4 linked regions of the Canis lupus familiaris genome follow. The main gene of each other region encodes a partner of the protein of the gene in region 3 in a complex. Links are inferred from orthologs where the notes say so. Each region holds a gene or a part of one and is shown on either strand. Other genes may lie near its edges.

Region 1 (4,285 bases), on a different chromosome or scaffold from region 3:
TGGGACCTACTGTTGGTGAGCCTGGTACCAGCCTGAGTTGTCAAGGCCTCGTGTCCTCATGGGAGAGTCCTTAATTCTTGGCTCAGTGTCCTCCCTCAAAACCTTCCACATTCTTCATGGTAGGGACAAGCCCTAACTGCCCTCTCTAAGACAGACCTCCAGGTCCATGTTTACCCACTCTGTCCCCAAAGCCTGCTAATCCTCAGCCCCTTTCCTCTTACTGACTCCCTACCCTGTCCTCACCATCCTGATCCCAGCTTAGACCTCATCCTTTCTCCGGTGGACTTTCACTTCACCTCCACCCTAGAACTTCTGGCTTCCAGTCTCTGCCTTCAGTCCATCCCCTAGAGAGTCCCAAAGCAATCCTTCTATACTTCCAAGCGGAGCCTATCCTTCTCCTATTCATGGCCTCCACATCACTCCCCAATCCCCAACCCTTGAGACAAAGTCCCAGCTTCTCAGGCTGTGACTGAGGCCCCAACTACTGATCCAGTTGTGCTTCCATCTATTTCTAACTACAGTGATTTTAATTAACTATGTGCTCCAGTCCTTCCCCCAGACTAAGCCCTTTCTGTTCAGCTGGAAGGAATATAGAGTCACAGTCCCTACCTGCAACATCCTTAGCTGGTAATACTCTATCTTATTTGCCTGGAGAACTCCTCTTCATCCTTCAAAACCCAACTCAAATGTTCCTTTCTCTGCAAAAACTCCCCTGATCTATACTGGTCTGGGCCCAAATGTGGCTCCCACAGTGCTTTGTGCCTCATTATTATCTCCCCAGATTAGGACTATTCCAGTCAATCTCCTTCACCAAAAAGGGAGTCCTTGAATACAGCAGCTGAGGCCAACTTCTCTCCAGGTCTGTAGCAGTGCCCAGCACAAGGCCAGACAAAGAGGCAGTACTCAATGGTTGCATGTTGAATGAATGTCAAAAGCAGGAACTGTGCTACCTTGAATACACTGTGAGCCCAGCCTCAGGCCCCACTCACCACACCATTCACTGACAGCAGCTGGTCCCCACGTTTCAGGCCTCCATGGCGGTCAGCCACGCCTCCAGGGATGACGCGGGAGATGTAGATGGGGGAGTTCTGCTCCTTGCCCCCCATGATGTTAAAGCCCAGGCCCTCATCAGTCTTGGGCAGCTCCACTACCCTGGGATGTGCATGGCCCTCACTGGCTGTGAAGGCTGCCACTGTGGCCTGCAAGAGAGAAGGCACTGAGAGGTGAGGGCCCCTCCATAGTGGGCAGGTGGGGAAGAGGGGAGGATCTGGGACAGAGAAAGCCAGCGATTGGGGGACTACTTTCCCCACGCAGGGGACACCTGCCACAGTTCAATGCAAGCTCACACTGTAACGAGTCTCTGAATTCCCTTTGGAACTTTCAGACATGTCAAAAAGAATGTCTCCATTTGGTGTGAGTGTGTTGAATATTCAACACTTGCCAATCTCGATGTTTAGTAGAGAAAAACAAAGCCTGGAAAGAGCCAAGGGCCTCTAGGAAGCAGCAAGAAACAGCATACAACTTATAGTTTAATAAGATTTCGGTGTTTCATGCTATTTCATTGTATAAGTGATAATTAAAAGGTATCTTCTTGTCAGGCTTCGGTACTAGTTTCCATTTGAAGTTGCTAAAGATGCCTTTATATGACATCTAAGTACAACATATGAGATTATTTAAAATATCAGTAAATAAGAGCAACGGTGGTACACAGATTTGGCAAAAATCTGAAGGAAGAAACAGGCATGAGTGACTTTAGGAAGTTACTAAGTTAAGACCACGCAGTTCAGTGGATACCACGAGTGACGGGGTGGGGGGCGCCTACCTTGGCTGTGGCGTGGGCCCGGATCTCAGCACTGCCCGTGATGTCCAGCGTGTCATAGAGCTGCTCATACACCTGGTGAAGACGCAGCAGCATCAGGGAACCACCAGCCCCTCCTCCCTTCCACACCAGAGTCCAGGCCCACAGACCCTCCCATCCAAGGGCTGGTCCCGCCCCCCGGAGCCGGAGGAAACTACAACTCCCGGAGAACCACGGAGCTGAAGCGCGGGCCCCCCAAGGCGGGCCGCCCCCGGCGCTGCTGGGAGGTGTAGTCCCTGGGCTCGGGGCGACGACCTGGACGGCGGCCGCCCGCTTGTGCCCTGGCGCCGCACCGCTCTCACCTCCCGGATGGCGGAGCAGAAGCGGCTCTGCAGGACTCGCTGGAGGGCCTGCAGCTTCTGCGGGGGCAGCTCCCCGCTGCGCTGGAGCCGCTCGAGGAGCTCCACCGCCCGGGACACGTCTGCGGGGCGGGGGCGGGGCGCACAGACACAGAGTCAGAGACGCGGAGAAGCACGGAGAGATGCGGCCAGAAACCGAGTAAGGGCGAGCGCTGACAGATCCCGGGAAAGGCAGCCGAATCCCAGTCGGACACCCGCAGAGTTGCCGGCAGCAGGGGGGCCTGCGGCCGGCCACGCACCCTGCGCCCCAAGATCCCCATAGGCACACACGCAGGGCTGTGCAGTAGGCGCCCCTCCTGGGCCAGCTAAGCCCACGGGCCCTCCCACACCCACAAACCGCGGCGCCCCGCCCCGCCCACCCCCGCTCGATCTGCCCGCCCACGCCGGGGCCTGGCCGGGGAGGGGCGGGGACCGGGGTCCCGGACGCGGGCCACGGCCGGTGGGCAGGGCCCCCTGGCGCGCTTACCCCGCTCCAGCCCCAGCGGCTCCACCAGCGCAGCCATGTCTGCGCCGCCGCCGCCGCTAGCCGCCCGCCTGCCGGGTCTCCGCGAGGAGGGCGGGGCTGCGCGAGGCCACGCCCCGGACGGCGGGCGCCCCCTGCGAGGGCGCGACCAGACGTGCGCTCCGCTCCCGGCGCCGCGGCCGCCCCACCTGCTGCCACGCCTGTCTGGCTTCCCGGCGCACAGCCGCCAACGGGCTGTCCGGTTTCCTACCCCGACTCTTGCAGCTTGCCTGCCTTGACGCCATACCTGTCTCTTCCTTTTTTCCACGTTCATTGGACAAACATGTTAAACATCTGGACACCATGGTGAGCAGGGCAGACAAGCCCACTGCCTTCAGCGAACTTAAGTCTTTGGGGCAGGGGAAGTAGACAACCAACTACTGCTGGTTAAGATATTGGGAGTGAGGAGGTGGTGTTCTAGGAGGGACGCTGGCACAGAGTCCTTGGAGGGAAGATTATCGGGAGGTGGGGCGTGGATCATATTCCAGGCAGAAAGAGCCCACGGAGTAAAAACCAGAATAGTTCATGATGGTGAAAAGGTAGGCAGGATAGTTTATGCACGGCCTTGTATGTTGGCATATACATGATTTTGGCCTTCATGTTAACTCCTAAAAGTAAAATGTGATACTCAAATACGTATTTTAAGATCCATGTAACCCCGGTGTGGGGACTGGATTGGAGGGCAGCAACAATGGAAGCATGGGGACCAGTCATGAGACTCTCCCAGCAATCCTGCGATGGCTTGGGCCAGGATAGGCGGTCAGGAGGATAGGTGGACAGATTTGGAAATACCTGGACCTGCTTGGTGAGTAGCCGTGTTCATTAGTTGGAGGCAAGATAACCTACTACCAAAAGGACCCAGAACTGGGTCCCCAAAACTCACATTTCAAAGTTGGGAAGAAGACAAAGAATGGCCAGGTTGGGAGACCTGTTAAGAGAGTGCGGTTAAAAAAAAAAAAAAAGTAGCCAGTGGTATCAGATACCAAAGAAATGCAGGAAATGTACACAAAACTATAGAGAAGTCTGCTGCCCATCCATCTGCACAATCAGCTGGCTGGGGATATGGAATTCTGAAAAGGAATTTTGCTGAGAGGACTGGAGCCAGTTTGTCTATCCTTCTCCTTCATAGCATTTTTTTCTCTCATTTTAACAACAAAAATGAGTTTAAAGTGAAAAAATCAGGTAACACAGAGGGCTAATACTGAGAAGCACCAGCCCCTGTCCTAATTCTCCCCACTGCAAGAGGCAACAACTTACAGATGTTTAGTCCTGCTAGTTGTTTGTGTATCTAAGGAACCTATTTCTCAATTTATCAATTTTAGATGTTAGTAATGCATTACATATTGATTTTCTGCTCTTACCACCTTTCCACTGTCTTCCCATGGTAGTTTTATGCTACCAGTTTTTAGGGCAATCAATAAAGTGCTCCCATTAAGTCTAAGTACTTACTGCTTACTAAAAGAGCCCAAGCAGTGTTCTGTGATTACATTGCCTTTCCTGAGCACCTTCTGTTTTCTCCTGTGATGTCAATCTGCTTTTCTTTCACGATATTATCAATTTTTCAAA
Region 2 (4,010 bases), on a different chromosome or scaffold from region 3:
GTAACAGGATTCAGTACTCAGGGATTAACCAGGAAAATGTAGAATACAGAGGGAAAAAAAGCCTAAGAGTATGAGCTTGCATGTTTGAGGGGGTATGTGAATACACATACGAGGGAGGGAGTGCAAAATCTGAGAATGCTAAATTTTATGTAATTAGGAGCCTTATGTTGCATACATATAAGATCTGGAAAAAATTATCTTTGAGATGAAGGAAAACTGAATATAAAATACTAAATGTTACAGAAAAGGACAGGGGTTCAAATGTGACAGACACACGAACATTGGATTGCTTCAAAATGCTGATGGTTCTATCTGGAGCTCATTAGTCACTAAAAATTTATCTATCATTATCAGTAATCAAAGCACTGAGTAGCACAAACACTGTGTGCTAGGGAAATCCTTGTTCATTTCTGAAAGAAAACCACAATTTACGTGTGGATATGAACCATTCAACAACAGATGCAGTTAGTGGCAGGAACACAGTTAAAACAATGGTAAAACACGTTCGGAAATTCCCAGGGGAAGTGTGTTTTATAAATCAATACATTTTTTAAGATTCAGAGTCATGTTGGGGCGCCTGGGTGGCTCAGTTGGTTGAGCGTCTGCCTTTGGCTCAGGTCATGATCTCAGGGTCCTGGGACGAGCCTCGGGCACTGGGAAGTCTGCTGCTCCCTTTCTCTCTGCCCCCCTCCTGGCTCCATCCCCCTCTCTCAAGTACGTAAATAACATCTTTTATTAAAACAACAAAAAAAAAGAGTCAGTCATGTTAAAACACTGTTATAACTGCCTCTATTTTTTTTTTAAACTGTGTTTTTGTACCCCAGGAGGCTAGAGTACCTATTATTCTTTGCCTCCTTTTATTTATTTTTTTTAATTTATTTTTTTTTAATTTTTATTTATTTATGATAGTCACAGAGAGAGAGAGAAGCAGAGACACAGGCAGAGGGAGAAGCAGGCTCCATGCACCGGGAGCCCGATGTGGGATTCGATCCCGGGTCTCCAGGATCGTGCCCTGGGCCAAAGGCAGGCGCCAAACCGCTGCACCACCCAGGGATCCCCTTTGCCTCCTTTTAAAAGGAAAAAGCTCTAAACTTTATACTAATACCGCAAGCCTGGAACTTTTTCTTCATAGAATTAATACGGCCTTCTTTGTGTATGCAGCTGCAAAAGTAGGAATAAATGTAGTGAAACAAGCAGTAGCTTTCCCGATTTCAGCTAATAAAAGCTTCAACTGATGTTGATCACATGCAACGGAATCAGACTTTCCCCATTCTGATTTCCCACAATTCAAATGACTGGTGAACCCGACTGTTGGCTCATGGATTACTTTAATCTACAAAGTCACAACATGTAGGCTATATAAATATTTCCAATCAACAAGAGATGGAGACGAAACAACTCTTTGCTGAACCTCAAGTGTACCTCGTTACGTGTTCACATGTCCTCCAACTGAATCAGGTTTTGACTATTTTAGAAGACGCTCAGGACCCTGATCGTGAGGCACTAATTTTACACTGAGCGCTGCTGGCAGTGTTTGTTAACCAGAACTCTAGGGAAGCGACAGTGGGTGTCCTCTTTCTTGTCCGGCTACATGGCAGCCACTAGGAATTCATCCTACTAAGCTGCTGAGCCTTCTGTCATAGACCCGACAAGGACTCTGAAAAAGCAAAAAAGCAAAAAAACAAAAAAGCAAAACAAAACAAAACAAAACAAACCAAAGCCGCGACCACCCCCCTATAGGGTAAGTGCCAGAGGTGCCGTCTCACAGTCCGTGCTGCGCTTGCAAATACAAAAGACCGCCAGCCGGCGTGTCGGAATCCCACCACCACCACCGGCTCTCAAAAAGGAGAACACCTACTCCTGCTAACGGAGAACACACCTGCTCCCATCTGCAGAGCACAGCGCCGCTGCGCTCAGGAGGAGGAGGAGGAGGAGGAGGAGGTGGTCACGGTCTCGGGGCTGACCGAGAAAGTCTCCCCAGAGGACCTTCCTCCTGGGTCAGAAAGGATGCTGTGACTCGGGCGCCCGGGGCGGGGGGGCGGTGGAGCATCTGCCCGCGGCCCAGGGCGTGACCCCGGGTCAAGGGGTCGAGTCCCGCGTCAGGCCTGCTGCTCCCTCCGCCTGCGTCTCTGCCTCCCTCTCTGTGTATTCTCATGGATACGTATTTTTTAAAGATTTTATTTATTTACTCATGAGAACACACAGAGAGGGAGGCAGAGGCAGCAGCAGGCCCCACGCAGGACTCGAACCCGGGACCCGGGGTCACGCCCTGGGCCGCGGGCAGATGCTCCACCGCCGAGCCCCCTGCACCCCGCAGCGAGGCCGGCGGCGAGGCGCACCGCGGAGCAGCAGCGCCCGGCTCCCGAGTCGAGGCCGCGACCGCACCTGCCGCGTCCGCCGCGTTACGTAACCGCCCGCGGGGCCGGCGCGGCGCTCGCCTCGGGGGGACCCGGCTCCGGACGCCGCCCCGGGAGCGCGTGGGAGCGCGTGGGCGGCGAGGGCGGCGAGGGCGGCGAGGGCGGCGAGGGCGGGTGGGCTGCGCCCCGGGCACGGCCGCTGCCGGCGGGGCGGGCGCCGAGGAGCGCGCGGGGCCCCGCCCGGGGGACCGCAGGCGCCCCCTCCCCCAGCGGCCGGGCGCGGCGACCTTCGGCGACGGGCAGCCGGGATCCGGGGCGCGGGGCCTCGGCCGCACTCACCCCGCTCCAGCCGCACGGGCTCCCCCAGCGCCGCCATCTTCTCCCTTTGCCCGCGACCCACAGGAAATGACGACACGGGGCGCGGCGGGGGCGGGGCTTAGCGGCCGCCGGGGGCGGGGCCTGGCCGCATCGCGAGAGTCGGCGCGGTGCTCCGGCGGGGGCGGGGGGCTCGCTGGGGGCCGCCCTGGGTCCCCTCCGCTCCGCGGCGCCGATTGCACACACGCGGTCTTAAGGACCTGGCCCGGGGCACCTGCGTGGTTCCCGGTCGTGACTCCGGGGCCCCGGGTTCGAGTCCCGCGCCGGCCCCCAAGTCCTCCCCAGCTCCTCCCCGGAGCTCCGCGTCGGGAACCTGCAGCGGCCCCTCCCGCGCCGCTTCCCGCCCCCGGAGACCCGCAGGCTCCGAGCCCTGGGAGCCCGGCCGCCTCCGCCCCCAGAGCGACCTCCAGCGGCGGGGCGCCGCCCACTGCCGCGCCCGGCCCTGCAGCCCTCCCGCTGCACCCACCGCGCCTCCCGCTCCCCGGCTGCTCGGGAGGCACCACTGGGCCCAGCTGGGGGTTCCCCAGCGTGTTCCCCTCGGGCCCTGCTGGTCCCCGGCCCTGCACCCCTCCCGCTGCACCTGCCTCCCCCTCCCGGGCTGCTCAGGAGGCACCACTGGGCCCAGCTGGGGGTTCCCCAGCGTGTTCTCCTCCATCCCTGCTGGTCCCCGGCCCTGCACCCCTCCAGCTGCACCTGCCTCCCCCTCCCCGGCTGCTCGGGAGGCACCACTGGGTCCAGCTGGGGGTTCCCCAGCGTGTTCCCCTCGGGCCCTGCTGGTCCCCAGCCCTGCACCCCTCCCGCTGCACCTGCCTCCCCCTCCCCGGCTGCTCGGGAGGCACCACTGGGTCCAGCTGGGGGTTCCCCAGCGTGTTCCCCTCGGGCCCTGCTGGTCCCCAGCCCTGCACCCCTCCCGCTGCACCCGCCTCCCCCTCCCTGGCTGCTCGGGAGGCACCACTGGGCCCAGCTGGGGGTTCCCCAGCGTGTTCCCCTCGGGCCCTGCTGGTCCCCGGCCCTGCACCCCTCCCGCTGCACCCGCCTCCCCCTCCCTGGCTGCTCAGGAGGCACCACTGGGCCCAGCTGGGGGTTCCCCAGCGTGTTCTCCTCCATCCCTGCTGGTCCCCAGCCCTGCACCCCTCCCGCTGCACCTGCCTCCCCCTCCCCGGCTGCTCGGGAGGCACCACTGGGTCCAGCTGGGGGTTCCCCAGCGTGTTCCCCTCGGGCCCTGCTGGTCCCCAGCCCTGCACCCCTCCCGCTGCACCCGCCTCCCCCTCCCTGGCT
Region 3 (3,500 bases):
ATCTGTGACTCAGGGCCAGCTGTGATTATGGGGCCCCTGGTCCGTCAAGAACTACAGTCCCTCACAGGAAAATAAAGACATTTCTCCTTTCAAAAAAAAAAAAAGAAGAAATAAAAAAGAAAAAAAAGAAAAAGAAAAACTTTCTTTCTTTCTTCTTTCTTTCTTTCTTTCTTTCTTTCTTTCTTTCTTTCTTTCTTTCTTTCTTTCTTTCTTTCTTTCTTTTAAAAAAAAACAATTTTCTTAAAGTTTGGACTGCAAAGCAGTGCCAGATGGAAGGCTGCCTGCCACTTCCTCTATCCGGGTCTATGAGTCTCCGCATTAAATGATGGCATCTGAAGTTCTTATCAGCTCTGACAATCTAAACGTAAGAACGTTTTTGGAAACAAAGGATAGCTAACAGAGGCAATCACGCAAAGGAAATTCACTGAGAAATCCCTTTAGTGAGAAAAACCATTATCAACCATTATCAACATTGGTGGACTCGGAGCCTCTGGCGTCTGTTAGCTAGGTTCCAGTATTTGGGGATAGACTGCCCCAATGTCTAATGGTTGCTGTTTTGGGTTGTGTGAAACAACCTCAGATAGAGTCATCTCCTTGCTAGATCTCTCACACATTGCCAAAGTACCAGCCACAGCAAAATCACCAGCATCTTTCAAAACAGAGTTCAAGTAAGTGAATTGTAACAACAGCATTTGGATTTCACCAAAATAGATAGTAATATATAGTAATTTGGGACTCCTTTTCTCACAGTTCAAAATGGTGTTGAAAAGCTATCTGACTTTAACCTGTTTTCACTGCTTAAACTTTCCAACAAAGTAAGTGTTTTTAAAGGCTTGGCAAGGTAAAGAATGAAGCTTCTGGCTGCTCTTTTTTTTTTCCCAAAGGCAAAACCCATTTTTACCTTCAAATATCCTGAGTGACCCTGAATCATGGCCTTTGAGCTTTTGCCTGCTGGGGTGGGGGTGGGGGGTAGAATGAGAATGGGGAGACCATGCTAACGGGTAAGGAGAGGGTTTGTTTTAAAACCAAACCAAACAGGGGCATCTGGGTGGCTCTGTCAGTTAAGCATCTGCCTTCAGTTCAGGTCCTGATCCCAGGATGCTGGGATTGAGCCCTGCATTGGGCTCCCTGCTCACCTGCTCAGTGGGGAGTCTGCTTCTCCCTCTCCCTCTGCTACTCCCACTGCTTTATCTCAAATAAATAAATAAAATCTGTAAACAACAAAACAACAAAACAAAACAAAACATGGTTCTAAAAGGATTGAAGCAGCATGTGGGAGTGGGGGGCTCTAAGGCAGCATGAGGTGACTGGGACCATGACTTGAGGCTAGCCGCTCAACCTCTCTCTCTCTTGACTTTCCTCTCCCCTTCTATGTAAAACCAAGACTTGACTCTAAGCAGGAATTTACTAGATGTTGAGGATTTAGAGTTCTTGGATGACTAATCTGAACTTTAGCTAGTGGAGGCAAATAGGTTTTACACAACAGAATAGAAGGTTGTCAAAAAGGATGGTCAGGGCTTTGTTTTTATTGTCAAGCAAAATGGAAGGAATAACAACATACCATTCCTGGAGCTCAGGAGAAGGAATGAGACCTGCGGTTCCATTTTTGGAGTTTTCCAGTTTACCCTGCCACCAGTTGTGATCATCCTTACTAATAATCTGGATAATGTCGCCAACTCTGAATCGAATGCCAGCTTCTTTGCAGGGGATGAGGTCATCCTTGGCCGGATCATATTCAAATTGTGCTCTTACATAGATCTATAAAACAGGAGTTTGTAAGAAGGGCTGCCTCGGCGATGTGAAAGCAAACAGCTCTAACCTAATAACCACACACCAACACTTACAATACAAACAGGACATTAGATGGTGAAGCCAAATGACGCATGGAGATAGGACACAGAATTGCTACCACTAGAAATGATGGGATACCTTTGATGTGTATAGATTCATACCTTTGCTGTTTTTATTTGGAGGGAACACTTAACAATTCTTGTTTAATAAAGATCAAGACTTAGCTTCTGCTTTTACTGTAACAGAATAGGTCTCTAATCATAGAGACGCACGCTTACCATTTTTAAATCTGCATATATTTAGCTGATGTTATGGGCAAGTTGTCATGATCATGTGGCAGCTTTGTCACCATATACACAAACATTCAGGGAAAGTTTTAACCCTGAAGCAGCATGTGGTACAAAAGTAGCAAGCACTCTGTGTTGGCATCTTGCTTTAGTTAAAATGCCTACATGACAACTGGCAGCATGTCTACACACTGTCGATAAACTTAAATGTAATTTAAACAGTTTTTAAAGCATTTAAAAAATCATGTTATTAGGTATGTAAGAAGGATTTAGGTTTTGTATTTGTATTTTACTCTTCTTAAAGAAAAAGGACATTGAATCCAAGCTTTGCCACTTGAAAGCAGCACAGAGCTTCAAGATATGCAGAATTCAAAGCTCTGAGTTTCAGGATATGTCAATGTAATTAGTAGATATTATAAAAGGAAACAGATTAGTCTACAAGGGGTTATCATATGGCAGCATTTTAAGAAATGCTAGATATCTAATGCTGCATCACTTATGCGGTCTTAAAAATAAACTACAGGGTGAATTCTCTCAGATGCCAATTTGTGCACACCTTAAGGCCAAATTGGATTATTTCTGGACACCAAATTCCAAGAAAATTCCCATAAAATTCTATCTCTTGAAATTATATTTGAATATTAATGTTTCAGTCACTGTAAAACCAACCTGAAGGCTTTGGAACTATTGTGTGATTATTCTGTTCAAGTTTTCTTATCAGAAATCCAGCCTATAAAATTAACATGTCTCTGCCTTTGCACCTGAAATCCATACTCTTAAAGTGCTGGCAAACTGGAAGCTGCTTGCTTGTGGCAGGCAGCACTTCACTTTCCCCATGTGACCCAAAAGAGGCATATTGGGATGGAAAGCCAGGATGTTCCGAGTTTTCATTGTAAATGGCTTTTAGATTTACACATGCAAAAACAAATTAGGAAAAAGCCTTGAGATTTTAGAAAATTACTGCTTAAACATGTTCATCAGCACGTAGATTTTAGTTATTCTTAGAATTCTAGGAATTTTGTTACCTTTAACAATTTTTTTCCCCAACTTCAGAGGCAGGCCTGTAAGACCCCCTTAAAGGCTGAATTCTTAACCATCAACACAAGTTTATCAGGTTGAAATTACAATAACCATCACAGCTACAAAGATGTAAAGAAAAAAATCCTTATAGAAAATTAGTCACGTGTAATGTGTTAAAATGAAATGGTACAAGCTCTCAATGCTTAAATGTTATGGTCCAAAATGCAGACATTATGGGATGGAAAGGGTTAATAAAGGATTGGCTATTAGCAGCTCAGTTTAGAGAAGTTTCTATAGAGGGTATCTATTCACCTGTCGTCCTTTTGGTTGGGTAGTTGATGGCAAGTCCTGTAGAATAAAGCCAACCCAGGAGAAAAATTTTCATTTACTTTTCAAGAGTAC
Region 4 (4,215 bases), on a different chromosome or scaffold from region 3:
ACTTTTTCTTTTAATCTTTACCAAAACTCTACAGAGTCAACATGGAGAGATTATGAAAGAGCAAATTTTCAATTGGGGAGCTCAAAGTACAAGTCTAGAAGCAGGCTATAAAATGTTTGGTACTGGGGATACATCAGAAAACAAAACGACAAAAAGCCCAATTTCCTAGACCTCACAACCTAAGATTTGTGCTGAAATAGGTACACTTACGGCTTTTAGACTCATGAATCAAGCCGCTCAAATACATATTCATAATAAAGTAGATTGTTAAAAGAACTACATTAGTGACCAGCGGATTTGTGTGTTCCTTTCATCCTCAATTATTGAATGAGGTTTGATATTTCGTGCAAATCCAGGGAACAGACTCTGCTGTTTATTACGCACAGTGTAACTTTTTTTCTGTTGTTTGGCTTAGGGGATGAGAATGATGATCATCAGCCAGAAGCTTGCTTCCTCCTGTCCTTTCCATGCTGCTTAGAGCACTTACCGCATGGAATTCTCACAGCTTGCTTGCTCATTTCTTGTCTCCCGACCTGGACTGGGCCATTGTCCAGGTGTCTCCCCACCTGGACTGGGCCATTGTCCAGGGAAAGGGCCACGTCTCTAATCTTTGTGGGCCAAGCACCTAGCACACTGCTTGCCACCTGGTTCAGGTGGGGTGTAGGTTTCTGGTGTGAGTAAGCGCGTACATACTTTCCTGTTTTCAAAGCAGTTCACATGCACAATATCATCAGGCCCTCACAAAACTCAGATTGTAGGGTAGAATTAGTTCTTCATTTTACAGAATCTCAGTGAAATTGAAGGTTATTAATTCCTTTGTTTGACAGATGAGTAAAGGGGATCGGTGAGAGATCCTGTGATTTCTGAAGAGCACATAGCTAAGACTTGAATTTCAAGATCAGAGTTCTTTCTTAAAAACCAAATGAAATACAGGCATGTTGAACTACTATTTTAAGTAGGTCTTTAGGATCAATGTGGTGTATGGACAGTCATCTTTGAGTTGCTCAAATCACTGGGGAAATCTTTTTTTTTTTTTTTTCCAAATGTAAAACATGGGATGGAAAAGATCTCCAGAAACCACCCATATTGTATCCGGAAGACAATGAAATGGATGATATGCCAATATTTTGCTGTAAAATCGTGTCTGCCTTCAAGGGTGCATTGCTAGCCAAAACCATTTTGCTTTGTCACGGGGAAGGGGCTGGAGGCAGCTCTGCCACTTCCACTCCTGAACCCACAGGCATCACCATTCTGCTTCTCTAAGATTTCTATGTGCTTCTTATTTTCTTGATCAGGGAATGAAAGTCCCTATAGTGGCAGCAGAGTGAAAGCCATCGAATGGAGTGAAGGGGTCACAGGCAGCATTTGAAGGTTCTAGTCACTGACGCCTGACCAATCGACTCTTAAACGACCCTTTTAACGACATCCTGTCCCACACGACCACAGGCTGCATGAAGGCAGGGCCTGTCCCCAGCTCCCAGGCGGCCTGTGACCAGGGAGGCAAGCAGCGCTCCTGGCTTCCCGCCTGCCACGCAGGTTAGTCAATCATCAGTGGCCACTCTGGTAACCCTGGGTGCGGATCAACCCGAAAAAGGGCTGCCTCCGTATTTTTCACACCGAGGGACACAAATGTCTCTCTCTCTCTCTCTCTCTCTCTCTCTGTGGTTTAATTTAAAACCATTTTTAAGAAGTTTGTGCTTAAGGTCCGTTAGGTCCTCGGCCACCCCCTCCTGGAGTGATGGAGCCCTGAGTCAGTTACCGGGCACACCGTTGGGCCGGGCGTTCCAAAGGAACTCGAACACAAAGTAGCTGCCGCTGCTCACGGAACCCCAGCATTTCTGGACCAGAAGCATGTTCTAAGGGGTAGGCTCCTGGCTGGACAATTGCTCTTAATCCGGAAAAAAAAAAATCCATCCTCCTCCTCCCCCCCACCCCGTGCCTCCCCCCTGCACCCCCCCACCTCCCCCGTGCCCCGTCCCTCCGCTCACCCCCCACGCCTCCCCCCGCCCCTCCCCCCGCAACCCCTCCTGTGCCCCCCCGCGCCCCATCCCCCGCCCTCCTCTCGTGCCTCCCCTCCTGTGCCCCATTCCCCGTCCCCCTCACGCCCCCTCCCGTGCGCCCCCTCCCGTGCGCCCCCCTCCCGTGCTCCCATCCCCCGCCCCCTCCTGTGCCCCCCCGCGCCCCATCGCCCCGCCCCCTCCCACGCCCCCTCCTCCGTGCCCCCTCCCCATCCCCCCGCCCCCCCGCCTCCCCCGCGCCCTCCCCCCCCCGCGCCCCCTCCCCCGCCCCTCCCGGGAGGCGCACGCACTCCCCGCCCATTTCATCTGCGTGCGAAGTTGCAGGGGCGGCCCGCGGGCTGCCCGGTTCGCGCTCGGCGGCCGCGCCAAGTTGCCGGCCAGCCGCCCTCCGCGCTCCGCTACCTGCGCCGCCGCCCCGCCGGGCCCCCCGCCGGCCCCCCCGCGCCGCCCCGCCCCGCCCCCGCCCCCGCCCCCACGGCGCCCCCGCCCCCGCCCCAGTCTCCTCCTCTTTTTCTCACTAGCAGCGGCGGCTGATGCTGAAGCGGAGCGTCGCTTCGGCTCCCGCGGCAGACATGGCGACACTGACAGTGGTCCAGCCGCTCACCCTGGACAGAGGTAAGGCGGCGGCGGCGCGCCCCGCGCCCCGCACCCCGCGCCCCGCGCCCCGCGCCCCGCACCCCGCACCCCGCGGCGGCCGGGCGCGCTCCGGCAGGGGCGGCGGGGGCGGGCGCGCAGAGCGGGACACTTTGCCCCCTTCCGCGCCCCCGCGCCCCCCGCGCCTCCGTGACCCCCGTGCCCCCCGCGCCCCCGCGCCCCCCGTGCCCTCCGTGACCCCCGTGCCCCCCGCGCCCCCCGTACCCCGGGGCGCCGGCTTGTCCGGGCGGCGCAGGCTCCGGGGGGGGGGCGGAGACCGCGGCTGCGGGGGGAGCCGGCGGGAGCAAGTTTGTCCGGGCGGCGGGGCCGGGGCGGGGGTGCGCGCGCGGGGTCCGGGCGGCGGCGGCGGGGAGCGGCTGTCCCGGGAGCCCCCTGCCCTGCGCCCCGGCCTCGCCGTCCCCCAGCCCCGGGGCCGCGGAAGGCGGGCTTGCGGCGCAACTCTTGGCGGAGGCTGGGGTCCCCGGGGCCCGGGTGCCCCCCGGCGCTGCGCCGCCCGCGTCCCCCCCCCCCCCCGAGGCCGCCGCCCGACGCGGGGAGCGCAGCGCTCGAGGGCTCCGGGGGCGCGGGGGGCGCGGGGCGGGAGCGCATCCCGCAGCTGCAGCCCGGCCTCCGGCGCGCTCCGCGGGCCCCGCACTGGCCGGGCCGCCGGACTGCAAGGCGCCCGAGCAGGTTCCGCACGGAGCCCGCAGCCGCCTTCCTTGGGGGGTGAGAGTGCAGAATCTAAAAAAAAAAAAAAAAAAAAAAAAAAAGAAACAAAGAAAAGAAAGAAAAAGAAAGGTAATAGTTGATTGTCTGCTGCCGAATGCTGATGTGCAAGCCTGCAAATTAAGAGCGGTGGTTACAGAGCTCACAAACCCACTGTGCAACCCAGGATTCCAGCCCGGGATCGTCACCGACCCTACAGCAGCGTAAATCCATTGCCGCCACGACCCAAACAGATGGCAAGCCATTAGGAATTATGGATTTCCTACGAATTTCTGTTTTAACGTAACGAGCTCTTATATTGCCCCATTGACTGAATCAGCTTGTACATATATATCCCCAGTAAAACGACTACACTGGGAGAAAGAAAAAAAAAAAGAAAAAAACAAACTCCCAAGAAAATTGCCTTCCCTGAGCAAGCTGATGTATCAGGACTACTAAAAACGTTTTGCTCTTTGGGTTTCTGCCTCAGACCTTAGATTTCCTGACTGGGTGGTGCAGAGGAAGCACAGTCAGACCTAGATCTGCCCTTAAACTTTGTTCTTGTTTGCAGCCAGACTGTACCTGTCCTTTCCCAGTGTGATTGGGTTCACGTAATAAGTAGCTCAAGAGGCAGAATGAGACTGGATGCAACTGAATAAATGAACCAGCAGCTAGCTGCAAGGTCTGTGATTGATGGATGAGGAAGTTATTGGCATCATTGCTGTACATGAAGTCAATGCATATACATATTTTTCCCCTCTACATTATTAAACTGTGATTAATGAGTTGATGGCATCATTTAAACCAGTGAAAGAAAAGGTTCTGAAAACTGTTCCTACCAAAAAAAAAAAAAAAAAAA

The links.
Region 1: the proteins of CASK (region 3) and LIN7B are in contact, whole or in part, in an NMR structure (PDB 1Y74), measured with the Mus musculus proteins. The link is inferred for Canis lupus familiaris from reciprocal best matches to the Homo sapiens genes CASK and LIN7B. Residues at the interface, in NP_001271432.1 of Mus musculus: Ala405, Arg408, Ala409, Glu411, Val412, Glu415, Ile416, Tyr419, Glu421, Asn422, Asp424, Ala425, Glu427, Leu428, Ile431, Leu432, Gln434, Phe437, Ala439, Leu440, Leu441, Thr443, His444, Val447, Ala448; in NP_035828.1 of Mus musculus: Leu10, Asp13, Val14, Arg16, Ala17, Leu20, Leu21, Arg23, Leu24, Ser27, Glu29, Leu30, Pro31, Pro32, Lys34, Leu35, Ala37, Leu38, Val41, Leu42, Ser44, Phe46, Cys47, Ile50, Arg51, Tyr54.
Region 2: CASK (region 3) and LIN7C share a complex: the UniProt entries of both Homo sapiens proteins name them as parts of the brain-specific heterotrimeric complex. The link is inferred for Canis lupus familiaris from reciprocal best matches to the Homo sapiens genes CASK and LIN7C.
Region 4: CASK (region 3) and LIN7A share a complex: the UniProt entries of both Homo sapiens proteins name them as parts of the brain-specific heterotrimeric complex. The link is inferred for Canis lupus familiaris from reciprocal best matches to the Homo sapiens genes CASK and LIN7A.

The regions. Positions count from the first base shown.
Region 1 is NC_049222.1:108,007,907-108,012,191, forward strand, and holds the start of LIN7B (protein lin-7 homolog B), read right to left. Parts: upstream 2,801-4,285; 5' UTR 2,721-2,800; coding exon 2,684-2,720; intron 2,280-2,683; coding exon 2,161-2,279; intron 1,895-2,160; coding exon 1,823-1,894; intron 1,200-1,822; coding exon 990-1,199; intron 1-989. UniProt on the Homo sapiens protein: Plays a role in establishing and maintaining the asymmetric distribution of channels and receptors at the plasma membrane of polarized cells.
Region 2 is NC_049242.1:48,957,366-48,961,375, forward strand, and holds the start of LIN7C (protein lin-7 homolog C), read right to left. Parts: upstream 2,801-4,010; 5' UTR 2,734-2,800; coding exon 2,697-2,733; intron 1-2,696. UniProt on the Homo sapiens protein: Plays a role in establishing and maintaining the asymmetric distribution of channels and receptors at the plasma membrane of polarized cells.
Region 3 is NC_049260.1:36,111,905-36,115,404, forward strand, and holds part of CASK (peripheral plasma membrane protein CASK), read right to left. Parts: intron 3,447-3,500; coding exon 3,411-3,446; intron 1,759-3,410; coding exon 1,562-1,758; intron 1-1,561. UniProt on the Homo sapiens protein: Multidomain scaffolding Mg(2+)-independent protein kinase that catalyzes the phosphotransfer from ATP to proteins such as NRXN1, and plays a role in synaptic transmembrane protein anchoring and ion channel trafficking.
Region 4 is NC_049236.1:23,464,641-23,468,855, reverse strand, and holds the start of LIN7A (protein lin-7 homolog A), read left to right. Parts: upstream 1-1,415; 5' UTR 1,416-1,536; intron 1,537-1,703; 5' UTR 1,704-1,863; intron 1,864-2,539; 5' UTR 2,540-2,551; coding exon 2,552-2,633; intron 2,634-4,215. UniProt on the Homo sapiens protein: Plays a role in establishing and maintaining the asymmetric distribution of channels and receptors at the plasma membrane of polarized cells.